4 linked regions of the Oreochromis niloticus genome follow. The main gene of each other region encodes a partner of the protein of the gene in region 4 in a complex. Links are inferred from orthologs where the notes say so. Each region holds a gene or a part of one and is shown on either strand. Other genes may lie near its edges. The genes, in order: ppp1r8b, lg12h9orf78, ttf2 and akap17a.

What was found.
Region 1: akap17a (region 4) and ppp1r8b share a complex: the UniProt entries of both Homo sapiens proteins name them as parts of the spliceosome. The link is inferred for Oreochromis niloticus from reciprocal best matches to the Homo sapiens genes AKAP17A and PPP1R8.
Region 2: akap17a (region 4) and lg12h9orf78 share a complex: the UniProt entries of both Homo sapiens proteins name them as parts of the spliceosome. The link is inferred for Oreochromis niloticus from reciprocal best matches to the Homo sapiens genes AKAP17A and C9orf78.
Region 3: akap17a (region 4) and ttf2 share a complex: the UniProt entries of both Homo sapiens proteins name them as parts of the spliceosome. The link is inferred for Oreochromis niloticus from reciprocal best matches to the Homo sapiens genes AKAP17A and TTF2.

The regions. Positions count from the first base shown.
Region 1 is NC_031976.2:26,286,148-26,294,116, forward strand, and holds the start of ppp1r8b (protein phosphatase 1, regulatory subunit 8b), read right to left. Parts: upstream 3,012-7,969; 5' UTR 2,920-3,011; coding exon 2,867-2,919; intron 2,861-2,866; exon of another isoform or gene 2,704-2,860; intron 2,382-2,703; coding exon 2,321-2,381; intron 2,218-2,320; exon of another isoform or gene 2,087-2,217; intron 2,019-2,086; coding exon 1,865-2,018; intron 1-1,864. Other genes in the region: protein THEMIS2, read left to right, coding at 4,186-4,288, 4,632-4,772, 4,851-5,276, 5,802-7,006, 7,270-7,384. UniProt on the Homo sapiens protein: Inhibitor subunit of the major nuclear protein phosphatase-1 (PP-1). It has RNA-binding activity but does not cleave RNA and may target PP-1 to RNA-associated substrates. May also be involved in pre-mRNA splicing.
Region 2 is NC_031977.2:13,550,483-13,558,375, forward strand, and holds the start of lg12h9orf78 (splicing factor C9orf78 homolog), read right to left. Parts: upstream 3,002-7,893; 5' UTR 2,923-3,001; coding exon 2,846-2,922; intron 2,686-2,845; coding exon 2,626-2,685; intron 2,520-2,625; coding exon 2,468-2,519; intron 2,349-2,467; coding exon 2,278-2,348; intron 2,197-2,277; coding exon 2,119-2,196; intron 1,697-2,118; coding exon 1,499-1,696; intron 1,335-1,498; coding exon 1,198-1,334; intron 1,118-1,197; coding exon 1,013-1,117; intron 265-1,012; coding exon 167-264; 3' UTR 1-166. Other genes in the region: NFU1 iron-sulfur cluster scaffold homolog, mitochondrial, read left to right, coding at 3,093-3,151, 5,494-5,594, 5,833-5,968, 7,017-7,083, 7,177-7,294, 7,405-7,468, 7,586-7,760, 7,887-7,893. UniProt on the Homo sapiens protein: Plays a role in pre-mRNA splicing by promoting usage of the upstream 3'-splice site at alternative NAGNAG splice sites; these are sites featuring alternative acceptor motifs separated by only a few nucleotides. May also modulate exon inclusion events.
Region 3 is NC_031987.2:27,398,325-27,406,224, reverse strand, and holds the start of ttf2 (transcription termination factor 2), read right to left. Parts: upstream 3,007-7,900; 5' UTR 2,907-3,006; coding exon 2,879-2,906; intron 2,666-2,878; coding exon 2,560-2,665; intron 2,288-2,559; coding exon 2,189-2,287; intron 2,079-2,188; coding exon 2,009-2,078; intron 1,491-2,008; coding exon 621-1,490; intron 1-620. Other genes in the region: cpap (centromere protein J), read left to right, coding at 4,058-4,441, 5,087-5,213, 5,332-5,544, 6,146-6,290, 6,386-6,491, 6,700-7,443, 7,748-7,900. UniProt on the Homo sapiens protein: DsDNA-dependent ATPase which acts as a transcription termination factor by coupling ATP hydrolysis with removal of RNA polymerase II from the DNA template. May contribute to mitotic transcription repression. May also be involved in pre-mRNA splicing.
Region 4 is NC_031987.2:12,402,037-12,408,912, reverse strand, and holds the start of akap17a (A-kinase anchor protein 17A), read right to left. Parts: upstream 3,004-6,876; 5' UTR 2,838-3,003; intron 2,073-2,837; 5' UTR 2,052-2,072; coding exon 1,725-2,051; intron 1,585-1,724; coding exon 1,546-1,584; intron 1,427-1,545; coding exon 1,208-1,426; intron 1,021-1,207; coding exon 808-1,020; intron 1-807. UniProt on the Homo sapiens protein: Splice factor regulating alternative splice site selection for certain mRNA precursors. Mediates regulation of pre-mRNA splicing in a PKA-dependent manner.

The sequences.
Region 1 (7,969 bases), on a different chromosome or scaffold from region 4:
TAAATCAAGACTTTGAATCAAACAATACAATTTGTCAATATTTGGTAACTTTTCTGACTTGTCTAACCCGGTAATATTAAATACTAATATAACAATGACCGTTGCATTATCACGTTTAAGCGCATGACTGGTGTGATCAAACTGCAATTCTTCTTTATATCCAGTTATTCTTATAAATGTGATTTTTAGTCCTTTTTAGTCCATTCTCTATTACATCATTTTCATTAATATGTTTTTGCTAATATTTTTAAAAAGGTCCAATGCGTGCCACTTTCTTGCAAAAACTCAGTTGCCAGTTTGGCATATCTTGTTTCTATTTATTTTTTGCAGCAAACGAGAAAGAGAGAATTCATAACTGCTACTACACAAGACAACTACTTCTTTTGAATGCTTGAATCCTAACCCTAACCCCGGCTCCAACAGTCTCAGTCGTTGTGTCCTTGGGCAAGACACTTCACACGCTGCCTCCTGGTGGTGGTCAGAGGGCCCGGTGGCGCCAGTGTCCGGCAGCCTCGCCTCTGTCAGTGCGTCCCAGGGTGGCTGTGGCTACAATGTAGCTTGCCATCACCAGTGTGTGAATGTGTGTGTGAATGGGTGGATGACTGAATGTGTAAAGCGTTTTGGGGGTCCTTAGGGACTAGTAAAGCGCTATACAAATACAGGCCATTTACCATTTAGCAGCCACCACCCACTCTTTCCCTTTCGCTGCCTAGCCAATCAATATGTCATCTGCTCCATCCTTAGGCTCCAGCCTTACCTACATCTCACTCGCTCCTCAGTGTGCTGTATTCCTAGCCTACCAGTAATCCTGTCTACTTCCTTCATCTCCCTGACTACTGAATATTTGAATACTTTCTTGTACTGTCTTATTCCATGACAAAGTCTCCTTGTCCTCTTTGCTCTGTCCAGACGATGCACCAAACACAGCACTTCAGCTGTATTTTCCCAGTCATCTGGTAAATTTATCCTAAGACCCAGAGCCTGTCTCCTCAACTCCTCCCTAAATTCCACACCAGCATTCTTCCTCCATAAACTTCCACCATGGAATCTTTGGCTCTGCCATCACTCTGCTCTTCTTCTAGATTTCCAAAGTCATCCTACAAACTACCATCCTGTGCTGCTTAGCTACCACCTCACCACCACCTTGCAGTTTCCTGTCTGTTTTGCACCTTCTGCAAAGGATATAGTTCGCCTACACCACCCATGTCTATTCTTTTGTTACTACAAACTGTCCTTCCACATTCCTCTCCTTAACACCATACCTCAAACATCCTCATCACCTCTGTTCCTTTCACCTACATGTCCACTGAAGCCTGGTCCATTCGCCAGCCTCTCCCTCCTTTGAACACTCTCTACCAACCTTCATCCAACTTACTCCAGAATTCATTTCTCTCCTTTATGACCTGCAACCTCTGGGTTACACGCATCGAGGCACGTGCAGCATTCAACATCACTGAGTATGTAATCTGTACATTATTATTTTTAAGTTTTCCATGAAATCAGAAATTACTTTTTTAAAAATGATAACTTGGTTGAACATCAACTCTGAATCACTATATATCAGTGCTATATACACATGGACTATCAGATACGTGCAGATGAAGATAAACAATAAGGTTTTCCAATTACAATCTGACCCTGATGCCTAGCATTATTGCTTTAAAAATTAACTGATTATCAAAACAATTAGAATATTGTTGTGGATTATTTTTGTCTATCCAGCAGTCTATTGTTCAACAAATTATTTGAGCGATAATGAGCACTAATGGCTGCACATAATAGATTAATTTTATTCCTTTTTAGCCCTTAGCTTTTTCAGAAAGTGATGTAGAGTATACAAGTATGACTGAAGATCGTGTCTTACTGCTGTTGAGGTCTATGAGGAAGACCCTTTTCAGGTGTTTGTGGTAGACTAGTGCAGCGTGAACACGAGAGCACGACTGATGGTCAATGGTGAAGTCACACCAGTCGGGGTTCCTCCCAAATAGGTAGTACTTCTTTTCATCTATGATCAGTTTCTAGAAGGAGAGACAAGAGTCAGTGACTTGGCCTTGAAAACAAGCCAGAGAAGAAGCTTGAATAACGTTTCTGTGCCTCTGAGCCATAACTCCACAGTGTTGCTTCCACTGAAAAGCTTAAAACTCAGGGCTGATGCTACTGTCGCACCGTTTGAAGCCATGCAGCCAAAGCAGACTGTCAGGCTCGTATCTGGTGCATTCAAGTAACCTACTACCAACATTATTAACCATTGCATGCAGTTCACAAGTATGCAATACTATAAATTGTTAGTCCAGTGTAACATCTCCAAACTTCCAGTTACCTCTATCAGTTTGTCTCCCTTCATCACGTCCAGGTGGAGCCCAGGGGGCGGTTTGCCTGCCCTAAGAGAAAACAGTTTTAAACATTAAAGCTGTCCAAGTTAATGTTATACGTGGACAGTGGATCATTATTATAAAAACATGGCTATACTCCATTGTCTCCCCTTGCTACAGTTAAGGATTTGTTCAAAAAAAACGAGTCACTCGACCTCTGCACTCATAGAAACGTGCTCAAGACTGATACTTTTACATACAGACAAACTTATTAAATTATATCCTGCGTATACATGTGATTTATTTCCTCTTTTCATGATCAGAATTAAAGCTGCACATAAACGACGGGTCTTAATAAGAAAAAAAGCCAACGCCATTTGTAGATACACACCAGCGTTAGCCTGCTTAGATGCTAACATTAGCTACTGTGAAAAGCAGCTATTCTCCTATGTAGAAAGTTACATTGATAATTAAGTGAATGCTAATCTGCTCATTTGCACCTGATATCACATAACAAGCTAACGGCTACAACTTTAGCACGTGCATTTTCTCACCATGATGGACAATCAAAAGGAGGGGGACTGTCTTTGCTTATTTTAGTCGCCATCTTGCCTCAGCTTCTCAAAGCAGAGCTGCATGCTGGGTAAACGTCACTTCGGATTACTGGGAAATGTAGTCCTGTAATACTGCCAAACATTAAATAGAATATCATACGACGTTTTCTCATTTATTCCGACTTTAACTTAAAATAAGTGGTAATAAAGAATAATACATGAATTTTCTAAGAATGTTCAAACCAATAAGGTGGGGGGGGATTAAGCTAACACCGACTTTGTGTTACCACAAGAACCAGCAGGGGTCCCTATTCCCCAAATTTCTAAGTCAACACTGTTAAAAAGTCAAATCAGATAAAGATAAAGGATATTGCCTTTCCGTGATCAGTGGTTTGAATGAAGATAGGAATGCGGGTCCCTCGGGGGTATCTATTTGGGGCAACGGTACTAATAGCTGGTGTGGGCGGACTCTGTGTCAAGCACTGATCTTCAGAGCTTTTTGTGGTTCTTGGAAACTCTGAGTTGAGTCAAACGCTAAAAACCGCTGCCTGCCTTCCTTGATATGTCAAGGTGGGAGGATATCTAGCCTCTCCTTGCTGCAGATAGAAGTGTCATAGGCTTAGAAAAGCACTAAGAGCAGGAAGTGCTGAGAGAGAAAGATGACACATGGCTAAAACGAATATCACAAAGAGCCTGAAATATTAGTGAAAAAAAAAAAAGCTATCAGTGTGTTCTCGCATCTGTGCTCTGAGAGTTTTTTCTTTTGCATTTTTAGAGGTTATCATAGTGCATGTATTTATTGAAGCCTTGCGCAATGTGTTCACACTGATTTTGGCCACAGCGTTAAGTAGAGCAGCTTGACTATCAAACAAGAAAAAAGAAATATAACATGTTCACACTGCAAAACTGCAATTGCGATTTGCTCCTTTTAAAGTCTTTCGTCCTCTCCCCCTCTCTCCCTCTCTCTCTTTCACTCTTACACACACACACCCACACAGACCCAAAAAATTAAGATGTATAAAAAGCTCAAAGTTAGGGTGTGAATGTTTCATTTTGTTTTTCGTAGCAGGCTTTATGCTGTAATCCCAAAAAATTAAATAAAACATCATTTTGGATACTTATTTACCACCTTCACAGCAATGAGGCTTTGCCAGATTGCTTTGTCCCCGTATGTGAATGCACAAGTTGTGCAAAGAGATCCTGTAACTTCCTCATTCACTTTTGTGGTTTTTAACTGAGAAAGCACCCCCGTTTTGTGCTGCGCTTGTCATTTGCTGCCTGCCTTCATTTTTGGTTGCACACACACAGAGGCAGCAGTGATGGCAGGCACCACTGCTTTGCCACTTCAGGAATTCATCGCGTCATTGGACGATAACTGTCTGCCAAAAATTTTGCAAGTTTGCTCTGGAGTATATTTCCAAGGTAGTTTTTTTTTTAATTATTATTATTAGTTTTCGTCAGTGAGATGGCGTGTACAGAAGGACGAAACTGACGAGATTATAGATTACTTCATTGCTGTGTGCTTCTCTGTGTTGTGTCTGTCTTGCATAAATTTAAAGTTACAATCTAGTGTACATTCCTTTTACATTTTGTACATTTTTAACCCTAAATTAGAAGTTGTTGTATATAAAAAGAACAGTGAGCATTTGTTGTGTTGCTCACGGCTCGCAACTGGAAATAATTCCCATTAGAGTCTATGCGTTCATGTGCTGGTTAAGAAATCTTAATCATTTTTGTTCCTTCAATTTCTTATTTTCTGTTCCAGGTTCTATATATGAAATTTCTGGGAGTGAAGTGTGCTTTTCCACTGGGGATCTAATAAAGGTCACTAAAATTGAGCTCCTATCAGTTTCCTGTCAAGACGTAGCAAACAATGAAACATTTGAGCTGCCTATCAGCCACACAGGTTGGTCTAGAGAAATTCTTGTAAGAATGGTTAAATCTATTTTGTAGAACTACAATGACTTTTTTTTTTTCTTCTCAGGCTTGTTCAAGGTCGTTCCAGAGGAGATGCCATACAGTACGGTAGAGGAGATGGTCAGCCTGAGGCCAGTAGGCCTCGACTCCTCTCTTCCCTTCACTTTCTCCAGCCACTCCAAGATGACCATTGGCAATTTAGCACTGGGGGCTGGGACAGCTTTGACGGTGCTCTCTGTTGAGAAACACAAGGATCAAGAGGATCAAGTCCGCTGCCTTATTCGAGGACAACAAGAAGCCTCAGCTGAAGTGTGCATCCCTGTTTCTTTCCGAGGGGAGTTCTATGAGTGTGAGAGTGAGGAGCGCTTTACCCTGCGGGAGATCATGTCCTCGTCGTCCCTGCGTAGCCGAAGGTTTCGCTTTGTCAATGCTACCAAGTGTGATCGGCCTCTTATCCTCAGTCCAGTATACCATGTCCAGGCTGTCATGAACTGTAAGAACAGCCTGCTTTTTAACTATTTAACTACTATTTAACATAATGTTGATCAGGATTTGTTATTTGTGTGTGAACCCTACAGTGCGCTTTGTTAATGCAAAGTTTGGGAACTTCCACTTTAACTTCCACCTTAATTTAAATTCTTCGCCCATGACATTTTATTGTTCCTCTATTTATGCATTATATAAGCAATATTTGTGCATATTAAAATTATACACTTGAAGCCAATGATAGTATGACATATAGTACATACTATGCTATAAAACAGTTAAAGTTAATGCCACCTTGAAAAACATCAGCATATCATTAAAAGCAATTAATCTATATGATGCACTGTATCACAGTTAAACACAGTACTTATAAGTATATATGCTTGTGGAAATGTACGTGCATTTTGCTTATATTTGTAACCTCGAGAATTTAAATTCAGAACAAAAAAAAGCACAGTTCAACTGTACTGCACTCATACCAAATTTAAATATACCTAATATGCTTCACTGCCTTCCTCTCTTTCTTCTACAGTGAGGAAGAATGTGGTGAAGTTCCCATCCAGCTTAGAAGTGGATGTGGTCGATGTCACCGAGCTGTGTAAAGATGTGAATTTTATTGTACCCCTTTCTCTGAGTGAAGTCCACTCTGAGCCGAATAAATCATTCCCTGGAGTGGTGGAGATCATCGAAGACCCAGAGACGCGCTCCCTGTTCAAGTGCAGCTGGCTACCAGAGCTCCGCAAGAATGGGCACCTGATTTTTCACAAAAAAGGAACCTCACCCATGATTTTATTATCCACTTTGAAGAGCAGGAAAACACCTCAGTACTTCCTGGTGTCTCAGCAATATGGTGGACGCTTCCGGAGACGGCCAAGAGAGTTTAATTCAGTATACGAGCTGTATGTTGCTTCAATCCACGCGCCAGGTCTGAAGGTCAGCGTAACAAGGAACTGTGAGGAAGTGGAAGAGGAGGGCCTCCCTGCCCTCAGTGTGGGGGAACAGCTTGAGGTTGTGCGTTGCGATAGGATGGTGTTACCCTGTGAAGGCAAATCAGGACAGAACCAGTCGGTAGAGGCTCTCTTGTGCTATCGCCTTCAAGAGTCGGACGATGAGGATGATGATGATGATGATGAGGATCAGGTGAAAAGGGAGGATGAAAAGGAGGAGATTATTATGCCTCTTTACATGGAGGGTCACTTTGTGGAAGTACTCAGTGACAACAAAAAGTACAAACTTTGTGACTTGGGGAAGCAGTTTAGCTTGCCTCTGGATGTTAAAGTGGTGGGCCGTGATACAGAACTCGAGAAGGATCCCCTCTATGGGTTTTCATGTCTCAGAATAGAGGCAGCTATGTTGGAACCCACCATTCAGGCAAGCTTTGTACACAAGCCAGAGTACTGTTTCGAGATCCCAACTCAGTGGCTCTCAATGTCTGTCTATTTTACTACAGACCCCCTCCCATGGCCCAAAGATCAACCCCCCAAGTTTCAAGTGGAAAGAGTTACCGAAGTTGCAGACACATTCTTTTATGAATTTCGCAAACTTGGTAACTCAGATGCGGAGCCGCCACCTCGACCACCAAAGCGAAACATGTCATTTTCGGCACCTCCCAAAAAAACAAAGAAATCAAAGAAGGCAAACAAATCCAAACATCAAGCAGACAAAAGCGTCCCAACCAAACAGTTCAGCGACTTGACTTTGAATAACAAAAAGAGGCCCCCCGCTCCACCACCTCCCGTGAGTGTAACTTTTCAATGCATGTATAACATTTTTGAAAGTTATTATTATAAAGGTTACGGCTCAGCTGAGGTTGTTAAGATTTTCTTGTCATGTCAGGTTTCTCTTGAAACCCCACTACAGGGAAACTAATAAACAGATGCTCATAATGTGACTTTCAGGAAATGAACTAAGCAAAAATAACAAATTGGTGCTTCCACTTTTTTTTCTGTGGTAAAGAAGCCATGCATGTAATAAAACAGAAAATTTCCTCTTTTGTGCAGGCTAATGAAGATGAGCCCCCACCACTTGTGCCCCGAAAGTTCTCAGCAGCTGACCAAACCATAGGCAAGGCTCTGCCAAACACTTATGTACAAATGAAGGAGTCTACTAAAACAGGTGGGGCTCTGTTTAATATAATGTTTTAAGAGAGCCACTGATTTGTCTCTTACAAAACTTATAGTGCAGCTGCTGGAGATTTATTGCAGCCATGGACTAATAAGCATTCTCTATATTTATATTAAAACAGTGTTTGCAGGACAACCTCTAAATTTGAGAAATTTTCACCATGGGAAAGAGTTTATATATGGTTTATATAAAGACCAAAAAAAGTTGAGAATACTGACAGAATACTTTGGCTTCCCTCTGCATCTCTAAAACAAATGTAAGTGTGACTTTTCACTAGCCACAGAGTCATCAAGACCACTAAAAGCACATAGAGTAACAATTTGTTCTGCCCTAACGCACAGAACTAAACTTAAAGTAAATGAATATGAAGAAGGGTTAAAAATCAGCTTCACCTGCACTATATACACAAAAGTACTGGGCATCTTTGAATTCAGAGGGTTTTAGTCCCATTTCAGCAGCTGTATAAAACCAAGCATCTAGCCATGCAGTCTGCCTTTGCAAACATCTGATAAAGAATGGTTTGTTCTCAAGAGCTCGTGTCAATAGATAGTCCACCATCAACTGTAACATATAGTT
Region 2 (7,893 bases), on a different chromosome or scaffold from region 4:
AAGAAATCATCTGAGACATTAACAACTGTATTGTATACAGACAAACAGCAGGAGCTATATACAATAATTACACAGTGTTGCCCTGATGTTAGAGCTATGCCATTAAAAGCCGTTTGGGGTCCTCAAATGAATCTTGAGTTTAAAATGTTTATATATATCCATCTCATCAATATCGCCGATTCATCTTCTTGAACTTCTCATAGTGGTAGTCATCTGTAGCCTTCTCATTGTTTGGACGTTTGCGGTAGTTTGGTGGTGACGGAGCTGTGGATGAACAAATAAGTTCGAAATCAGATTAAAGGTTTCAAAAGATTTTGAATAAATCCCCACACAGACACACAAGTAAATGGGGAAGCCATTGAAAGTAAATTAACTGCAGTGACTGCAATACAGTTTCTATCTAGCTTGGATAAAACGAAGAAAATCCTGAAACTGAGAAATATTATTTTTGGAAATGCACAAGTGTCAGTGACTTAAAACAACAGTTTCACATTCTGACAGGTCTGGCCCACAGGACAGTTTTCCACTTCAACTTAGACTTTATTAAATTTTGAGTTGGCAATGTTTTTGAAGTGTTTTAGTCCATGCAGTCATTTCCACTACAGATTCATGCCTGTTTTTAATTTATTGTGTCATGAGGGTCTGAAGGTCACAGCCTTCTCCCTTCGTGTGCAGAGATTTCTCTTGATTCTGTGAAATTATTGTCATTATGTACTGGAGATGATAAAATCTCCAAATTCCTAAGATAATTTTCAGAAAACTTGACCTCTGACTTTGATCTCAAAGTCAGGGTCACCAATATTTGAACTCATCCAAGAGTTATAGTAGATGCACCTATGGTATCAATTTGAAAATCCAACATTGCTTCATTCTCAAGTTATCATGTTCACAAAGCCGAGTGTCCATACTGCCCGCTCGCCGAGGTAATTCCACCCACCCATTTTCTTTTGTTTATCCAGCTGTAAACTATTACTATGTACTGAGCAGTGAGCGTATCTGTAGAGTCTCTTACCCTCTGGACCTGGTTTCTCTGTGTCGCCCACACGCAGCGGTCTTGCTTTGGGTTCTTCTTTGTGTCTATGGTGTCTCTGCGGTGCATTTGCATCCTCATGATAGACTGAAAGAAAAAGTCAGTTTGTTTAGTATTATCTGCTTTAATTTAGGTGTGGAATATCTCGCTCTCTTCAGATTACTTACATCGATTGTGTTGGACGTAGTTAACAGCGATATTCGTGGGTACAAATGATGTGCCGTGGTCTTTTTTCTTGTTTCTTTGTTCTGCCAAAAGTTTTGCTTTTGCATCCTCTGTCTGGATGATGTTCTTTATCTTTGCACTAGAAAAGAAATTACATACACAAGTTTTATTAGTAAAGCTATTAATAAAAAGCAGTATTCGTTCATGCCATATCTCATGCAAAAATGCAGTTTTAGTCAAAAGACTCCTCTTGCTGATTCTAAAATAAGTGTAGATGATTACTAGAATATTCTCAGTACATACTCAATGCCAAGATCAACTTCAGGGATGCCACTCAGCATCTGATTAGACAACATCTCCTCTGTCTTCTTGGCAGAATTGACTCGGATGTTCTCGGGCAGCTCATACAGGTGGTCCTCTGGATTCTTCACCTTAACTTTCTGCTCCTCAGCCTCCACCAGGCCCTTCTTCTTTTTTAGTTCCGTCTCAATATATTTCATCCTGTGAGGATAAATTTATGATAAAACCATGTTGTAAACAAGTGTGAGGGTATCTCGAATTCTGTCCTAAATGCTGGGGATTTGAAATGTCTCTTCTATGTAATCTGTGCTATATCTAACTAAAGTGGAGGGAAAAGAATCAGAATCAAATCCCCCTTATAACTGGAACTATTTGACCAACACAAAATGCTGTCAATTTAAAAAAAATAAAATAAAATAATTTCAGCTACATTAGATTTTTACATGTCAGTGTCAGGAAAAAAAAGTCTGCTTTTATGATAGACTTACATGTTGGGTTGAACCCATTTCTTTTACTTAAGTCATTACATTCTTGTTACCAAAGTGGAAGAGGGTGAAAGCGTGTCTTTATACATAATATGAGTAAGGGGATGGGACAACAAAAAAGAAAAAAAGCACACATACATATCCGCATCCTCGTCTCTTCTGTTTGTCTCGGCTGAAAAAGACGTCCCCAGGTTGAGGTCTGTCTCATCTTCTGTCCTGAATACATAACATGAAATGATGACATATCAATGCACAGCGTAGAGCAATTATGCTAAAAATAGTTAAAAACTCACTTACATGTCTCTATTCCTGTCTTTCACTTTCTTCATGTCAACAATTCCCCCAGTCTTCAGTTTAAATGGGTCATTCTGTGAGGAATAATCAAAATAATTTTAATAAACGTAAGTTCAAAAACCAAAACACCTTGGTTAATGAAGCTATATTACAATTTTAAAAAAATATAAATTTTACAAAACTGACTACCTACCTCAATTTCAGCCTCTGGTGGAAGTTTTTCTCCAACCAACAAGGCGGTCACACTAAATAAAAGAAATATAAAAAACTGTGATTCGGTATCTGACTGTGTAAAACTTCATGTAAAGTAACAGGATGAAACGTGTTCGTAGTTTGATTTATTTACGTTACCTGATTCCGCTCTGTCGTTTGCGCAGACTTTGTAGCTCTTTAGCCTCTTCTAACTTATGCCTAAACATCCATGAAACACAAACGATTGCAAACACATTACCTGGGCAGCTTATATAAAATGCGACAACAAACTATCTGCGTTTAGCGATTAGCATTAGCATGCATAGCATTACTCTAAACGGCTTTTTTTTTATTCCTGTGGTTAAACAGACGGCTCTACCTGACTTCTTCGGTGGTCTCATCCTCCTCCACATCGGACGAGTCCTTTCTCCTTCTAAAATTTTTGCCACACGGCATTTTTTTTCAGATACTACACAAAATTATTTCAGACTTTTCTAGAAGCTGCACTTGAGTGTAGCTACTGCTGGGATAAGAGGGGGGACGATTTAACAAATGTACAATAATAGTGCGTCACGTCCCCTTATTTACCGCGCCACTTCCGTCCTGTTTAGATAACCATAACAAACATGGCGACTTACAGGCAGGTCGGCAGATTGTTGGGTATTTCAGGAAGACTTTCTCGTCCGTAAGTGGTTTTGTATTTATCTTTATCTGCATTGTTTTCTGTTTTTGCTTTATATCATGTGTGCATGAATGCGTCAGCATGTTAAGCATCAGGGTCAGGCTAATGGTAGCACGCTGGCTAAACGGCGGAGTGACGCAGACAGTCAGCTACAGAGCAGGGAGGTGTGGGGATGTTTTACTGCGTTAAGCGTCTCCACCAGCCGCTTATTAACACTTTAAAGTGGTCAGTATCAACCACGACAAACCTTTTCAAACTTTAAAAAATGTTTTTGGTTTTGTTGCATAAGTGCTAAAACTTTAGCCCGATTCTAATCTGCTTTTTCTGAATTATCCTGAGGTGTACACAGCGACACCGTTACTGTCGACAGTTCATATCCATAAGTTATTATAGTTAAACAAAAGTATTACATGTTTTAGTATCGCTTAGCTTGTTTTGTTTTTTTTGTTGTTGTTTTTTTTGTTTGTTTTGTTTTTAATTGTTAATGCTGCCTTATCAGGTTTTGATAGATATATTTATTTAGACCTAGGAAGTTTATAACTGTGCTGGTTTTACTAAATCTTGCCTCCAACACATGCCCTTAATTCAATAAGTGATTAAAAAAAAACAATCTAAAACTAAGACACAAGTTAAACTAAAACTAAACATTTTCAAAAAAGAAGTGAAACGAGGAAACTCACTTTGTAAACTAACTCAAACTAAACTGAATTAAAACATCAAAATGAAATATAAATAACAATTAATTACAAAAGGCAAAACTAAAATAACTGTCCATAAGAGACAATGTCTCACAATTACTCTGTTTCTGCTGGTGTTTCTACGGTCTTATACACTCAGACATGTCATTACATACGTCTTTCTAGTACTGGGTTTGACCCCCTTTGCCTTAAGAACTGCCTCAATTCTTCATGACATGACCAAAATGGTTGAGGAGTTAAGGCAATGTGAAGTTCACATGGTAAAATTTAGGCCGTTTGTTTGTTTGTTTGTTTGTTTGTTTGTTTGTTTGTTTGTTTTTTACCTTGTGAATTTCCTGTCCTACCATGATAAATTAAGTATCCCATTAAGCCCGTTTTCTCTTTCTTCTGGAACCATTTGAATTATGTCTTTAGCAAAAATGGAAATAGTTACTGTCATTTAAAGAGCACTTGTAAATAAAGGGTTAAAGAAGCAAGCCTTTATAACAGGCTAACTGTGGTCACAAAGGGATGGACATGGTCAGCAGCATGTCATTCCACTTATTCCCAATTTATCCTCAGATGGAAATAAGGGGCTCAAAGTATACTAAGAAAAAAATTTGCACGATTGCTACACTACCTGAAGGCTAAACCATTGATACAAGGCAGGATGGAGCCATGACAAATCCGACCGTACTATCCAAATATCGCAGCAGAAATTGAAATTCATCCCGAATGTACAGATCAACTGTAATCCTTTTCTTTTTGTTTATATGTACAAAGAAAAACTCTTAATAAAAAGACATTGTTTAAAAAAAGAAATTGAAATTCATGAGACCAGGTAGTGTAAATAGTATCTTGTTTCCTGTTCTTAGCAGACAGGAGTGCCACCCAGTGTGGTCTTCTGCTGCTGTAGCCCATCTGTTTCAAGCTTCAATGTGTCTTGCATTTGGATAAGCTCTTCTGTTGTAATAAGTTGTTATTTGCGTTTGACTTTGTATCAGCTCAGGTTCATTCTCATTTGACCTCTGACCTTAACAGTGTGCTTTACCCCAGAGAACCATTGTTCACCAGATATTTTCTCTCTTTCTGACAATTCTCTTTAAACATTAAATATGGTTGTTTAGGAAAATCCCAGCAGAACAGCAGGTTCTGGCACATCAAACACCAAATAAAAGTAACGGGCAGATTTCTGCTATTGTCCACTTTCCTTGCATATCATATACTGTGCCATTTTTCCCTGTAATTGTACTATGTTTGTCTGTGTTTTCTATTTTGTAAATCAAATGTCTTATAAAGAAAAAAAACATGTTTAGTTGTCAGTGAAATGATTTCTTCTTGGCTAAAGTAAGACAAATACTGACTGCACAGTGTAACGCTTTAAGCTCTGCATGACCCCTTTGGTTTGTTTTACATGTTGCCTTATGCAACAGTTTGTAATACCTCGGCTACAAATTATTAGTTGTACAAACACTGTGCACCAAATCATTTTAGTGGATTAGTCTCACCACACCTTCATGTTTTGAAGTCAGTACTTTACCACTCCAGAGAGGAAGGCATTAGATGAAGTGGGCTGACACGGGTGCTTGACATTTGGATTTCTAACACCATTCATTTATCAGTGTGAGTTGCGTTGTATTAAATGTCTTAATCTGCTGCATTTTTCAGTCTTGCTGTCAGTGGGTTTCAGAGCACTGGATTACACTTGCCTTCACATACCACAGGAGTTTCGAACAGATGGCCCTCAAACCCCATCTGGATTGTTCCTGGTTTGTATTCCTGTTGCTTCCCATAATAATCACATGTGTAACATTGAATGTGTTTATACTGGAGTGATTGTCTTGAACCCAATAGATGCAGCTGTTGTTTGAGCAGGTGCCTGTAGGACATGTGACATTAGCCTTGCAGTTCAATAAAGTAAAGAGTTGCTGCACAAAATAAGGACACCGTGTAATGAAAACAGGTGATTTATGTTGCATTCTTCTTCTTTGTTTTTTCTCTGCCCAGGAAGAACCATGTTTGTGCAGACCCAGGATACACCAAATCCAAACAGCATGAAGTTCCTGCCTGGCCGGACAGTTCTTGAAACAGGAACTATGAATTTTGCCGGCCCTCGTGAGGCACACTGCTCACCTCTAGCCAGGTATGTGAGATTACTGGTCTGAGAGAAATGCCTGATGTGAAACAGTCATCTTAGCATAGCAGATGTAGGTAAATGAGTTTAAATACATGCAGTCAGTGCGCTGGACAGTGCACAAGACAGGTGAATAACTGACTGGGTGGAGTGGATGGAGATGAGTGGGTGATTTGTGACAGAAGAAAAGCAGCAAGAGTGAAGGAGACATTTTACAAGATAGTAGTGAGACCTGCTATGATGTATGATTTGGAGACAGTGACCCTGACAAAAAAAAACAAACAAAAAAACCCAGAGATGACAGAGTTGAAGATGCTAAGATTTTTATTTAGAGTGATCAGGATGGACAGGATCAGAATGAGCATGTCAGAGGGACAGCTTAGGTTGAGCAGTTTAAACACAAAGTTGGAGAGCCAGGCAAGGCTGAGATGGTCTGGACATGTGCAGAGAAGTGATGGTGGATATGCTGGACAATGGGTTTTGAATATACAGCTTCCAGGCAGGAGGAAAATAGGTGGACCTCCAGAGAAGGTTGGTAGATGTCATGTAGGAGGACATTAGTGTGACAGTGGAGAACGATGGAGTGAAATGGAGGCAGATGATCCACTGTGGCAAAAACTAAAAGGAGCAGCCAGAAGAAGAATGGATTAATAGTTTGACTTCTGCTAGTCACATGACAAGATTGATTTACCGGTACATGCCTTGTTGGTAGGGCAGTAACCAAGGCAGCATTTACTCTTACCAAATATTAAAAAAAAAGGTGTAACCTCTGTTATGCACAGAAACAGTAGACCTCTCTTCTCACAGCCCAGCACGCTGCTGATTCGGATCCTCAGTGTAACGCTTTTACCTCTACCTAGCAATTTTGAACAGAAATATTATTTTCTAATTCTATTCCCATTAAAATATTATGTTAATAAATGTGACTGGTACCTGAACACAATTTGCATGTCTATATGTGTGTATTTATTTGTTACAAACATTGCACGACCTCCTGTATTAAGTGTAAAATTTATCTTTAAGTGTGGCATAATAAAACCTCAGTGATTGTCTTCAGGCAGCTGTTTAGGATCGATGGAGTGAAGAGTGTGTTCCTGGGCCCTGACTTTATTACCATAACGAAGGTAAAGCCATGTCCAGTTTGTAAGAATTGGTACTGGCACAGCTTGGCATACCACAACTAAGAATAGCTTGGTTTCTCGTCCTTCTTCATTTAGGCCGACCCAAATTTGGAATGGAAGGTAATTAAGCCTGATGTGTTTGCTACCATTATGGACTTTTTTACCTCCGGGCTTCCTGTTGTAAACGAGGACAGCCAGCCAAGCCCAGATACAGGTATGGTTTTCAAACAGCTGTGGCCTGCCCATTATCAAAACATCGACTTGGACAGAAATAACAAGCTGCTTTGAATGCTGAGGAACAACAATCTCTGCTTCTCCTTTCAGCACCATCAGATGATGACGACGAGGTAGTTGCTATGATTAAAGAACTACTAGATACTCGAATAAGGTAACTACTCATGAAGATGCAGTATGATCTCAGGGCCTGTTGCTTCCTGTGCTTTGTTTTTTTTTTGTTTTTTTTTGTTTTTTTGCCTAATACCAGTCAATGTTCTCACTCGGTCAGGCCAACTGTGCAAGAGGACGGGGGAGATGTTCTATACCGCGGATTTGAAGATGGCGTTGTTAAACTCAAGCTGCAGGGCTCTTGCACCAGTTGCCCCAGTTCAATTGTGACTTTGAAGAGTGGCATCCAAAACATGCTACAATTTTATGTACCTGAGGTTGAATCAGTGGAACAGGTTTGTTGTCTTTCTCTCATTTGATTTTAGAACACTGTTAATTTTTAAGATGTTAATCCTGACATCTTGATTTATATTTCATGTTCAGCACTTGAGCTGTAAAGAGCTTTTATGTATGTCTTCCAGGTGAAGG
Region 3 (7,900 bases), about 15 Mb from region 4:
GACTGATGCAGGATTTTTAATGCTGATACTGACAGTTGGCCATTTAATTGTATTCTTTTCCAAAAACTCAACAGATTTTCCTAACATTAGTTGTGCCTGGTCATTGATTATCTTGTTTACTTTATGCTCTGTCCTGATCAACTTATAACAAGGTTGAAAGGCGTTTCTTCCATCTGGTCTTTTTTTCCCCCCACTTTTATTTATGGGCTGTTAGCAGTTAGCTAATACCAGCCAATTAGATATCAGCCCAATGATAAATCACATTGCTGGACTTGTAAACTAAACTGTACTTAACAGCTACCTCAGCCTACTTTGTCAGCTAGTGTAGCTAACAGTGTCAACTTTAACATTTAAAGAGAAAAGTACATTCTGAGAGCTTGCAGATTATTTACTATGATATAATTACAAGTACTACAAATATTCTTCGGTGTTTTGGGAAACGCAGCCTAAGAGTGACTGATATGAGTATATCGGGGCGGTTAATTAACAGATTTCTTAATGCGGACATGTTTGACATGCATATAATATATTTTTTTAAATATTATAATAATATTTGTATGTTAGGTTTTAAATCAATGCAGTGCTCATGCATGACATGTGTTGTCTCCTCTTCCCCTCACCTTTTTCTGCTGGAGCTGAACGGTGAGCAGGTTCTGCAGCCCTTTGGGGTTTTCCACCGGCTTTTTGATGTTAGAAGCTGGCTGGAATCCTGGGAAGTTGGTCAGCGTCTTTTGGACAGTAGAAACAGGAGGAGTCTTCTGCGGAGCAGGCTTCACAGACACCAGTACCACATCATCATCATCGTCGTTGTTTTCGGGACTGTTGGGCTGACTGGACTCTGACTGAGTTGGTTTGTCAGGTATGGGGCTCCTGCTGCTGTCAGAGTCTCTGGATGCATGGGTGCAGCTGCTCTTTTCTAGTATTTGTTTGGTTTCTTTCACCTGAGAGGTTTCGGCATCAGATGGTTGCTGAGTCAAGTTCCTGTGAGAAACTGGTGCAGTTTGATTGATTGTTTTGAGTTGATGTTTGTTTGATGACTCAGAATGAACAGTCTTGACGCTGGAGGAAGAAATGCCTTTTTCTTCTTCTCCTTGCTTGATGCGGTTCTGCTCGGGCGTGTCTTGAATCTTCTCGGTTCTTTTTTCAACACTGTTTTCTTTGGGACTGTTGTTCTCCTCATTTGAAACTCTCTTTTTTAACTTCATCCCCAGTGGAAGTTGTTTACCCCGGTAAGTATCCGACGACCTGTGCTTATCATCTGCCTTTTCTTCCACTCCTGCACCTTGTTGCCTTTCATTTTCTTTCTGATAACTTGCTCTTCCTTCAGCCTTGTGACTTGCTTCTTTCTCTTCATGTCTATTGTTCTGCAACTTTCTCCACTCAGAGTCCTTGTCTGCCTGGCTTGGTGCCTTAAAGGGGTTTCGTACAGGTGGAAGACATGAGGGCTGTAGCTGTGTGTCAGACAGAGGGCTTCTCTTTTCTGTTTCCGGCTGCAATCATGGAAGACAACACACTTTAAAAAAATATGTCATAGAAATTTACAGAAAAGTGTCTAATAACAGCTAATCCCTCATGTGGTGTTTAAAAAAAGTAAATAGTTCAGAATAGGAAAAATACTTGTTCATACCATTTAGCTACATCCTATTTAAGGCTGCAACTTATGATTGTTTACATAATAAATGTATTAATCAATGCATACGCCAGGAAAACCGTAAAACATTTACAGTTACACAGCATTAAAGAAAAAAACAACAAAAAACAACAAATACAAAAGAGGTAAGGATTACTTTTGTTTTGAGTGACTGACCAATGAATTGACTAATTCATACAAGCTTAATTATTAGTGGAGTAGTGAGAACACTAACTTAAAACTTTAACCGCATTTTTAATAACTAAAAACTATCTTTAATAACTGTCTCAATGCGATGGCCAGAAACCGTTGGTGATACAGATACTGAATGTATATAAAAAAACAAGTGTGTGTTGGGAAATCTGTGACAGCACTTACTGCAGTCCAGGGTACATTTCCACACCACCTCTGGCCTGCTTTTTTACCTACTGCACATCGGTAGAACAACCTGGAAAACGAGAAGGAATTTGCAGTTAAATACAGAGTCTAACCAACCTGGTATCTAGTCATATAAGCTGCGTATAAGCATGCAATTTCAGATTTCTTTCTAATACATACATACACACACACCTATAGCCCTGCTGTGGCTGACTGTAGCTGAGAGCCTGGAGTTCCACCATTGAATCTTCATGATGGAGGCAGTGTGATGGTGAAATGCTAGAGATATGATAATTCACATCAATAAAACAAATATTTGTGCAACACACACATTTGTTTATCAATAACTTTAACAATATGTCAGTGAATAACCTCAGATGTTTGGAGAGGGCCAGTGAGTATAGTAAAGTTGGCTACTGAGATGAATGGAACAAAAGCAATGTAAGGATATGGCCAGTGAATAGTTAAGAGACTATTATTTGGTTCAAACACAGTGTCAATGAATGGTTCAGGTCTGAAAATACAGAGGCCTATTGTCATCGGGGGAATACCTGGTTTGCTGACTAAAATCACAGCCTTGCTTGTCAACGCAGACGTAGAAGCTCTTGCCTTTATTGGGTCCGTCTTTTAATCCGGTTTTTAACATACACACGCCGCCTGTGACAAAAAGGTCTCTCTTTAGAAACACGTAAAAACTCGAAGTGCGGAATATTTAAACCGAAGGTTAAACTAATTATTAAACTATGTGGGCAGCAAACCTTTTTTGTCCTCAGGATAAAAACACAAATATAACCTCTTTAAATCAAACACAATATCCAGTTTACCATTTTATAACACATAATTAATCACCACTGACCGATTACCACTTACCGTGTATACTACATACAACCTTTTCCATTTTATCAACACATTTAGTTCAGTTCAGTTACTAGAACGTGAAGGGAAGGGCTGTATTTTGTATAGACCAATCGCAGCTCTCGGATAACACATCCGCTCTGCAAACGTCAGTATAAAAGTCAAGGTCCGAGTTATTTAGCAAAATTGTATTATGATGGACAAAGACATAATATATAATGATGTATTAACATTAAATACCGATAAATATTAAATACATAACAATATTAAAAAAATAAACTCAACAAACGCCAAATTGCATTTGCTTGATGACTGTTATTGTGAAATATATTTAACTTTTAACCGGATATAATATAAGCTAGTTCCGAGAACTTCCGTAAACCTGTTCCGTAGAAATTTTTTTTTTTAATACATGTATGCAGAAGTGACTTTTCTGTTTAAAAAACGTATGTTTTGTATATAAAAATCATTATTTATAATTTCTATGAAATAAAAAGACATTTAAAAAACAGTTAGGACCAGCGTGATGTAAGACTACGTTACCCACAATGCAACAACAACTTCATCGTTGGGTTTTTTGGTCTCGCGGGCTTTGTTTTGATATGGCGGCAGGCTTCGAATTTTTTGTTTGTTGCCTTTGTATAACGCCCGATTTCATCACAGTAAACCTGCTTTTCTCCTGAGTTACAGGTAATGTCGATGTGTTTTGCGATGCTTGTTAATGTTGTAGTGTCGTCACTACAGTGTAACATCCGGGAAAAGTTTTTATGAAATAAATAAAACGCAGCCTGCCAATAACGGGAGAGTGTCGACGAGGAAGCCAAGCCTTTTAAATAAAGCGACATTTGAGGAAAATGAAAAGAGCACTTCCACATTCCACGTGAGCCACATGTCATAAATGCCACCATTCTCTCCTATGTTTTTTTTTTAATAGACATTGTTAAGATTATTGTTCGTAACCAAATATCTGGAACTGACTTCTGTGTAGCAACCAGGACGGAAACCAATCTCGTATTAAAAAGGCAATGTCTTTTCTATATATAACGTCCCTATGTATAGCTTTATTGGACCTGGGCGTCAGCTATAGGGTGTTGGACGGTGTTTATTCGTGGCGTGATTAACCCTTAACCTGTCACCATAATCTTTCTCTTAGATCCCGGATTAGACTATCCTGCCTGCGACATCGCAGCCATCATGTCATCTCCAGCTGGCCTTCAGTACTCCCAGGCAGACTTGTTGGCCCGATGGATGCCAAGTAGCACCAGAGCCGGAGTGATCCTCAGTCCCTCTCCGGATTTGGCTGGACCCTTGCGGCACACCTCTGCCGTGGGATCGTCGCCCATGTTGCCAGACGATTCCTTCGCTTCCGACTTTGCCCCGTTGCCCGCTTCTACAGACAGCAGCTGCCTCGGTGTGGATGCATTTAGACGGGCAGCAGGAGGAGAGATGACTGAGTCTGACAGGCCGGTGAACGGTCTAAACTCTGTCCCGACGAGAATTGCAGATGGACAGCTGGACACTTTGGACGAGATGGCAAGCAAATCACAGGATCTGCCCCTTATGATGAAGCTTGAACAGGTATGGACATCAGTGCTTTTCAGAAGCAGTTGTCTCCTGTAACTTGAGACAATCAAGTTGTTAAAAGTAGAAAATAAATTCTTAGTGAAACCAAGAACATATGTTTGGCATATGTGACTAGCCCTGCTGTGCATCTGAGGAGATGGACTTTCAATACCTAACATACATGACACAGATACTGGGAGGATCTTTAGTTTTACTGGTTTATAGATACAGGGGTGAGACAAAGCAGAAAAAATGAACCTATAATTTATTTATTAATAATGTAAGAACATTTGGACACTATAATGCCACAGATTTCCTAATATATGCAAATTTTGGGCCCTGCGTGGACTTCATTGTTGATTACATCACTGCTTCCTGTATACTTAATGCACCTCCATCACACACACTCCTTTACGTTTCTCTGCTATTAATAGAGTTTTTCCCTAAGGCAATTATGTTGGCTGGGACACAGATGCAATTAAACACTTAGACTATATGTCAAATGGCAGTATGTGCAGCGCATGTGGATTGACACTGAGCTGAAACTAGTGGTACTCAGAAACATCTAGGTTAAATGTATCTTAAACCATCTGAAAAACATAGTGGGAGCTAAGCTAAACTACATATCGAATTAGAATTTAATGCAATATGTGTGTGCAGTTAAAGAAATGGCAGCAGCACATGCAGGAGCAGCTAAAAGCTCATCAGCTGGAGGAGCTGCTTCATCTCCAGGAAGAGCAGCAGAAGCTACTGGGAACGCTGAATGGATCCCAGCACTGCACAGGAGGTCAGAGAGTGAAATTACACGAACAACTGCGAAGTGATCATTTTGAGTTCAGGGTGAATGTGGTGTGCAAGTATGTGTCCTGTTTCATAAACTGAAGTGATGATAACCCATCTTACAGAGAGTTCAGAAATGTCCGGACCAGAGTGGGTTGAGGACACGCTCCACAGGTCATGTTACACACAGTGCTCTTACAGTCCTGATACAAACCACCATGGAGTCCCACGGGGCTCTATGATTGGCCGTCAACCAGAACAGCAACTTTCACTAGTTGTCAGACACGAGCAGCTACCCAAAGGTCAAGCACCTGAGGAGGGTGATGATGAGGAAGGGGGTAAGATATATTTAATATTTTAAATGTAAGTTTCAAATGTAAGGCCCAGGGGCCAGAATCGACCCACCAAAGACTCCAAACCGGCCCACTGCACAGCTTCACATGTGTGAAATGTGAAGGAGTACATTAGATTTGAATCATTTCACTGTATTTTCATAGGTTTTACAGCTCTTCCTATTTATAAAGACCCCTTCCATGTCCATTCATACTACACAAAAGTTGGTAACTAATAGATAAACAATTGAATGACACTATCTACCATAGAAATGCATTTTGTTTTTTTTTGCAGGTAGTCCACAGTAAAGAATAAATTTGACATGATATTTTATTACTACAGGACAGTCTGGGCTATACATTTCCAAAACATTTTCTATAATTTGACATATCTGTCATATAGTTTCACTCTTCCAGTTTACTTAAGATCAAAGTGGGCTGTATGTCTCCTACGATGTAAAACAAGTTTGACATCCCTGGTTTAGAGTAAGACATTTCCACAGTTTCTTGGTATTTGTGTTTTCTATAGAACAGCCAGTGTGGATTTGCCCTGTCTTTCATCACACGGTTCACATGTTTTCAGTGGTTAACCGCTTTGTTTCTGTAGGCTCACTGGACTCCAGAGAAGATGAGGAGGAGCACAGTGTCAATGCGAGCCATTTTTCTGAGGAAGATGACACGTTAATGGAACATAATGCTGTGGCAAGGACTGAAGACGACAGCAGAACAGAAGACAAAGTCTTTCACGACAGGTAAATAATACATAGTCTTGTATTTATGTAGTTCTAACATCAGACTGTCTCGACAGATCAGTGTTTGAGTATGGTTTTGTTTGCCTCCTCTCCAGACCTATAAGGCCAGGTATTGGGGGTCAAAAGCAGACATTTGAGGAGCTGCTTGAGGAGCAGCTGAAGCTGGAGGAGCAGAGGCTAAAGTCTGCCCAGCAACAACAGGTCAGAGGATGTGTCGAGTGCTGAAAAGTATCAATAATGAACCATTCATTTGAGTTTGCATTCTGCAGGTGACAACCTGATATAGGAATGTAATGTCTGCACAAATGGAGCCTGTCTGTATTTTGCAATAAAATACTTTATTTAACTGGAAAAACTAAAAAAATTCCAATTTACATTGAATTCAAATCTTGTCCTATTCCTTCAACAGAGTCGAGATGGAGCCAACGCTGCGCAAGCCCCTCCTAAGAGAGCCTTCTTGAAGCGAGGAGAGGGCCTTTCGAGATTTACAAATAATCGGAAAGCTATGTTCCAAAAAACAGATGTAAAGAAGGACTCCAGACCACCACCGCCTCAAGCCAGAGTAATCTCTCGCAGCAACTCGGAGCCCACATATATTCAGAAAGGAGCCGCAAACAGTGCCCCACGGCTTCCTGTCCAGCGTAAAACTGCTACACTCAACAAGGAGAACCGGTTGAAGGGACTCAGTTCACCACCCCACGATATGAGAGCAGTGACTAAAGTAGCACGGACAAAGGTTTTAGGTAGTCATCAGAGACAGAACACAGCAGGACCAGAGACTGTCCAAACTGATCCAGGTGGCAGACCAGCCAAACATCAGCTGGGGAAAGTTCTGTCAGTTCAGGCCGTGAAAGCCCCTTGTCTCAATGTTCAGCCGTGTCCTACAACCAAACAGGGCGGGAAGTTAGGACAGGCAGGGGCGGCTGAAAATGAAAAAAGCTGTGGTTCAAAAGGGGAATTAGCAGAAGCAGGAGGGGTTTCTAAAGGAGGAGACCCAGTTATACAGGATTCCTTCGAGTTGTCTTTTCAGAAGAAGCTCCAGCGATGGGAGTGCGACCGACAGCTGGAGAGCATGGAGCTGGGAGAGTTTGAGCTGCTGGAGCAAGCGGCTGAAGAGCTGTCCTTCTCATCTAACTCCTCCTTTGTCATGAAGGTGCTCTATTTCACTCACCAACTCATCACGCTTTAATTCAACACTTCAAATGCTGGAATGTTTGGATGCCTACTGTTACAATTTTTTTTGTCACACAGTTTTTTGTGTTGGTAGTATCTGTTTCCTTGTTTGTGTTGTTGGGATTCAGTATTTCTGCTGCCCTCAAGTGGTCAAAATCTGCTATTGCATTTCTAAAGAAATTACCAGATTGGGTTGCCTTTCTCCAGGACTTTACTGTTAGTCTTGTGTTATGTAGACATAACCCCTCTCTCCAGAAAACTATTACTCTGCTCATTCCTTGCAGGTTCTTCAGATGGATCAACAACGACAGCTGCAGACTGTGAAGGGGCTCCACCAGCGACGCCTCTCTTCAACTCCCATTAAATCACCTCCTAAAGGTGTATTTCAGAGGTGCAATAGTGTTGGAAACACAGGTGGCTTAGCAAGCAACTCTTTG
Region 4 (6,876 bases):
TACACACAAAAAAACCCAAAACAAAAGTATGTAAATTTTTATTAATTCAGTAATTTAGACCAACTTTGGGGGGGATAGTGGATAAAGCAAAACAAAATATAATCCAAGAATACCAGACTGATAAACCCGTTGGTGAGTTTAAGGGCTTATTCGAGTGCTTCACACATTTCAGAGTGGTTTACTATGATTACAACATTTTATAACCATGCTTAGTCAGGAATAGTCCTTCCAGCTCTTCATTTGAAAACTAAAAATATTACATCCATGGCAGATTACTGTGTCAACACAGATTTTAAATAAATGAATAATGGACAAATATTCCAGTGACACAGCTACAAATACAACATCTTTTCTGCTCTACAAGTTTTAAGCTATTGTCACAGTGCATTTAATATTTTCACTTAAGAAGAAAAAAAAAGCTACACTCACTGGTAGCCTGATGGGAAAAGGAGGTTGTTTATATTGCATAGAATCATTAATTTATCAGCATGTTTATCAAACAAACCTCTCAAGGCTGCATGGTTCTCTATACTTGTCCTGCTTAATACAACCATATTTGAAAGGGCACTGCATTAGAACACCTTAATAATGAGTTAAACTCCATTTTTCTCAAAACCCTGGCATTTAAAGTTTGTACGAAGAAATTTCTCTCCCAGCAGTGACTGAACATAATTAAGAAAACAACATTTTTAGTTGATGGATTAAAAAAAAGTCCTGGAATGATTGGTCAATCAATTAAGAGGTAGAAAATAAAATCAGCTTTAATATGTGTAGGCAGAGGCTTGACACTACTGTAGTCTGCAGTACCTTGATGTTGCAAGCCACGGCTTTTCCATCATCTCCTTTCAGCATCAGCTTCATGCTGCGCAGAGTGTCCATGGCTTTTGTGAAGCCACAGTATTCCTGATACTGGACATACCCTTCAAAGTTCAGATGGCCCCCAAAGCTGAATGTGCTGAAGTTCTTGCCCATCATTTCCTCCCTATATGGGTCCAGCATGGGAATGTCAACATTTCGTACCTTAAAAAAAAAACAAAAACAAAAAAATACTAATGTTTTAACTTTTTATATCGACATTTATTAGTTTCTTGTTTAGTTAGGCACTGCTTATGTCTATTTTTTTTTTTTTTTTAAATTGTGAACTAAAAATGTGAATATTAAAAGCTTAATTTCCTTTTAGCTACACAGAAACATGAATGTGAATCACCTTGCCGAATGTCTGGAAAACTGCAATGAGGACTTCTTCTGAGGGCCGATCTGGGTACTGGCTGTCCTTCTGACTGAACCAGCGGCAAGGAAGCCCTTCTAGGTGGATGGTGTCAGGCCTCTCACCTGGTAGTGTCTCATTCATGTCCTTGGCATCACGGAAAAAAGAATCCCAGTCGTGACGTGTCGGGAAGTCCACTTTATTTTCTACTGCACGAACCTAAAGGATGAGAGGGTGAAATAAATATACTCTGCTGTCGGTTTATTAGTGCAATTTAATTCAACCTGTAATCAATCTTTGGTAGATAATAATATAATACTTAGAACTAGCTGCCTTGCCTTTGGATAGTTGTTTATTTTCAAGGTAATTTCTTTGAACTGCCAAATTACAATGTATTGACAAAGAGTTACAAACAGTTTAAGTACATTTAAGTAGCAACAACAAACTCCAGTGACTCCAATAACCATGCAATTACTAATTATAAGTACTGCAATGCTCTAAATTTGTTCACCCTTACCTTCAGTACATCAGTAAAGCCACTGAGTTTGATGCTCTTCCCATCCAAACGACTTAGCAGGCTCTTGACTACAGTCTTGTTTTCCACTTCACCTTCAAAGCGGATGAAATCCATTGTGCTCTTGGAGATTCGCAAGACTGAAAACTGCTCCGGGGCCACCATGGCCTTCACCCGCTCCATTACCTCCCAGTTGGAGATGCTTTTGCCTGGCAGCTTGAGCTGGGGCAAAGCCACGCTGATGGTCATTTTGGCAATAGGCTTCAGGTACAGGTTGTACTCAGCAGAGAGGCACACTGCCTCTGTGGTATCATGTACAATGGTGGTCATTGCTGCAGAGAGACACCGAAGCTGCAGCAGGGGGAAGAAAATAAAGATTTAGTAGTTATTAAACTCTCTTAAAACACAGATAAAACATGAATAAGGAGCAAACTCAAAGTAATAAACTAAACTGCGCATGTGCTACGAGTAGTCCTCCAAAACCAATAATCAAACTGCAGCAAACATCGGCTCAAACACAGGCCTCATGCCAAACGATTAAAAACCATTCTCAACATTATAAAACCCATTATAATTAGCCTTCGCATTTGGCTTGTTATACAGTAGTGTGACAAGTCCTCGAAAATTACACAACAAATGCCATGTTAAAGCATAAAGCCCCTTGCGCCATCACAACTTCATACTGCTACCCAGCTAACCAGCTCCTGTGCATTAACGTTCAGTTAACAGAGAGCATATAGGGTGACACAACGACAACAGTTTGTAGGAATAATAATGAACGGTGTCAGGACTACGCTACATATTTCTGGGGAACGGTGTTCACTGGTTACACAAACGTTAGCAAACTCAATGTAACATTAGCTGAAAGCTAACGCTAAAGTCTTCGCTTCATCCCGAAGGACGACAGGCTAGAAAGCTATGAAATTGAGTAAACAGCGATCTGGTTAACGTGATTAATTTAACGCTATTAAACTGCAAACTGCGTATTATTATTTGTTTACTGATTATTTGTTAACGTTACGGTTTTTACGAGTTGGGTCCTAAAACGTCACCGCTTTAGACAACAACATGCTAACGTCAGCTAGCACAGAAGATAACAGACTAGCCACAACCTACCAAAATCACTTAGCCCCCCCGTAAAAACCGAAAATGCAAAACACAACAAACACACTGTTGTAATTTAAGGTGAGCCATACACTTGAGAGGCATACAGAAAATCGAGAATCCAACTACATGCTACTTCCGCACGCAATGAACTCCGACCTTCTAAAGAAACCTATACCAGCGCCCACAGCGACACCACATGGATGAATATGGCGGTGAGAAAAATGGAAAAAGATCTCTTAAGTTGAATTCAGTTTAATATCAATATTCATAGCAATTTTCTTCTTGGGCTGCCTGGTCGCCGGGACAGCGGATCATTTGTCGCCATTGCACACATTTCCTAGCATGTTCTTTTTTTTTCTTTTTTTTTTAATTAGCAAAATCAACATACAACAAAATGCACCATATATTATACAATCAGAAAATACAAATTTCAACCTTTGTACAAAGAAAAAGAAGATATAAAGACGGGGTCATAAAAGTTAACAGAGTATTAACTCACTAAATCAAAATCTTCCAAAAGGGAACCAAAAGATGCAGCCTTTTTCTTTTTAACTAAAGTCAAAGATTTAACCAACAGGTTTAGATCGTTTTTCCAGTGAAGTAGGGTTGGTTTGGTCGACATTTATGTATATATTGCTTGCACAAGATTAATAAAACATTAACACCATAACTGACTTTCCTTCAGAAACACTCCAAACAATATCACATTTAAGGTAAATGGGGTAATTTGAATCCCACTCGATTGAAGCCAGGCATGAAAATCCAACCAAAAGATTTGTATAAAACTGCACAAAAAAAAATAGATGGTCCAAATCCTACTCTTCTGTTTCACAAAATACACAATTAACAGTTTCTATCTTAAAACTATCACCAAGGAACCTATTTGTTGGGTACATTTTATTTAAAATTTTGAATTGGACTTCTTTCCCTTTAGGAGGGATAGGGAAGGTGATATAATTAGTTCTTATTCTTTCAATTTCTTCCTCTTGGAAATCTTTTAATATGTAATTACGTCTAAGTAAATTTGGAGAATAAAGACTCTTTAATGAAGATCTCAGGAACTTATTATTGTATTTAACATTACAAAACTGAATACCATCTATATATAATTGCCTTAACTTGAGGGAGATGTCAGAATATATTATATCACTTACGACTATGTTTTTAAGTGACAATGGAATGGATTTTATAACCCGATTAAAATTACTTTTAGAACACTGGATATTAAATTTTTGGCCAAAATCGTGATGTCCTGTCCTTCCTCATCTACAAAATGAGCAATTGCCCAAACACCTTTCGATAACCAATCTTGAATAAAAATAGATTTTCTATTCATCAGTATATATCTATTGTTCCAAATTTGGCAGTTATGTAGAGTGAAATTATGTTTAAATATAATTTTCCAATAAAGAAGGAGCTGTTTATGGAATTCAGAGAGTTTAACAGGTAGCTTAGTAATTTCAAAGTCACATTTTAGGAGAAAATCGATACCCCAGTTTGTTAAAGACCTTACTTGGTATAAGAAACCAAGCGGAGTGAGGATTATTTAATTTCAAAACACCATTCATTATATCAAAGTCAATTGGCCTAGCATGTTCTTCTGCTACAACAACCCTTTAATTACATCCAAGAATCTTCTGTCTGGTCTTCCTCTTCTCTTCCTGTATGAAGGAGTATTAGGGCCATGTTAAGAAAAAAATATGGTGTCGGTCATTTTGAGAATAAAGTCAAAATTTCGAGATCAAAGTAAAATAGAATTTTGAGAAAAAAATCAAAATGTGGAGATTACAATTTCAAGACAAACAGCTATAGTTCCTACACCCCCTGAGTTAGTGAATTGGTACTTCTACTCAAGGCTTTTCGTAGAAGGTATAGCAAACCTGGGAGTTTGTCTTCAAACAGCAACCATAATCTCCACCCTTTGGCTTTTGTCTCAAACTAGTATTTCAACTTTTTTCTCAAAATAAAATTTTTGACTTTATTCTCAAAATGATCAGCAATATTTTTTTCTTAATGAGGCCCTCCTGCCTGGGAGCTCCATGTTCAACATCTTTTGTCCAATATGTCCACTCTCCCTCCTCTGCACATGTCTAAGTCAGCCTTGCCTCTCTAACTTTGTGCTCAACCTGAGCGCTCCCTCTGACATGCTCATTTCTAATCCTCTCCATCTTCTCAACAAAAATCTTAACTTCTTCAGCTCTGGCACTTTCGCCTTGGCCTCCTATCTTTTTGTCACCATCTCCAAACTATGCATCATAACAGGTCTCAGTGCCATCTTGTTAAATCTTGCCTTTCATTCTTGCTTCGATCCTTTTATTACAAATCCCCCTGATAGTCACACCACCCACAACAGATACCCAGAACTGTCTGTTGCTTTAGATGGCTGACACCAGGTATTTAAACTTATCTACCATCAGTACCTCTCCTCCTTATATGTTCATGGGGTGCATGGCGGTCTGATGATTAGCACTGTCGGCTCACAGCAAGAAGGGTTTGAATCCAGTCTGGAGCCTTTCTGTGTGGAGTTTGCAGTTCTCACAGAGTATGCATGGTTTCTCTTTGAGTACTCAGCTTCCTTCCACTGAGACCTTTTCTGATGAGGCTTCAGGGAACAGTAGACGGGTCAGATGCATCTGTGAGGTCTTCACTTATGGTTTTTACCGGGCTTACAAATTACTTAAGACTTTTGGTGTAAATAACCAAGTTTTATAGATACATATATATTAGCAGTATTTAAAAAGAGAAAGAACACACACCCTGCTATATATTTCAGAACACACATAATTAATACATGATAGAAACTTTGGCAATAATTGTAATCGCCCTCAATTTCATTATTTATTAGTAAATCACTGATATAGTTTATGCAAAAAAATGTTGATCAGTATCAAAAAAGGGTTCAGGCTGGATTCACTGTACTTTTTTATATCTGCCACAAGACAAACAACACTCTGATGACAGTACAAATTTGTTACTCACTTGATGTCTATTTGGCACTGTTTGTGACTCATTAGGGTTTGTCTGAAAGCCATCATCACTGTGGTAACTGTGTGAGATAAAAATGGACCGGACTTGGATTGGTCCAACAGTGGAGGCCCCAGGCTAAAAAGTTGGCACAGTTTCCCTGAAAGGATGGCAGAGGAATTTGCATAATAGGCATTACTCCCTTCACTGTGCATGTAGGTCAGTTACTGCAGTCAAAAAGGCTCTCTATCCTGTCCCGATCAGCAGTTATTTAATAGACAGCCTGCCTAAGGCAAATCTGGATTCTACATAGCCAAAAAAAAAGCACATCACTTCTGACCACTATAAATCCTTATTTGACTTCTAGATCAGGGAAACCCCAGAGATTACAGAATCATCAAAGGAGCTGACTTGACAGCATTCAGTTTTATATAAGAAGCATATTGTGTGATACATTGTGACTGTTTACATGTAATCCAGCTTTTATATGGTTGGTTTGATCTGGGAAACACGAAGCAGAGAACAGACAGGGTGCCAGAAGGACATCAGAGCAACAAGAGGATTGCCAGATCTGTAGTAATCTGTTCAGGCTCAGGCACTGAGAAATGTATCGTAACCCCCACACACATATGAAAGCTTGTGGGCATTAAATTTCTCTGTACCCTATACTCTGTTTACTTTCTCTAACCAATGGCAAAAATAACATAACAGGGAAACACAAAACTGCTTGTCCTCTTAGGTTCTTTTAAGTATATTAAGATAAACAACATAAAATCTGATTTTAAAGTATTTGCAAAAATGGATTAAATAGAGTTTATATCCCAACAGCAGCAATGTTGACTTTTGGTCAGTCTGTATAACAAGAGGTGCAAAATAAGAACTGGATGTTAATCTGTCTGGTGGGCTATGTGGGCAGGAAGTTGTGGATATACTGTAAATGCCAGAGCAAAGCTGGGGTCGTCAGATCATCAATTATTCAGCATCAACAGGCAAGGACAATCAGCTGGTGTCAGCAGGAACAGCGGATGAAGCGACTCGCTTCAATTGTATTTTTAATCTATTCTGGTGACATTAACATGAGTAT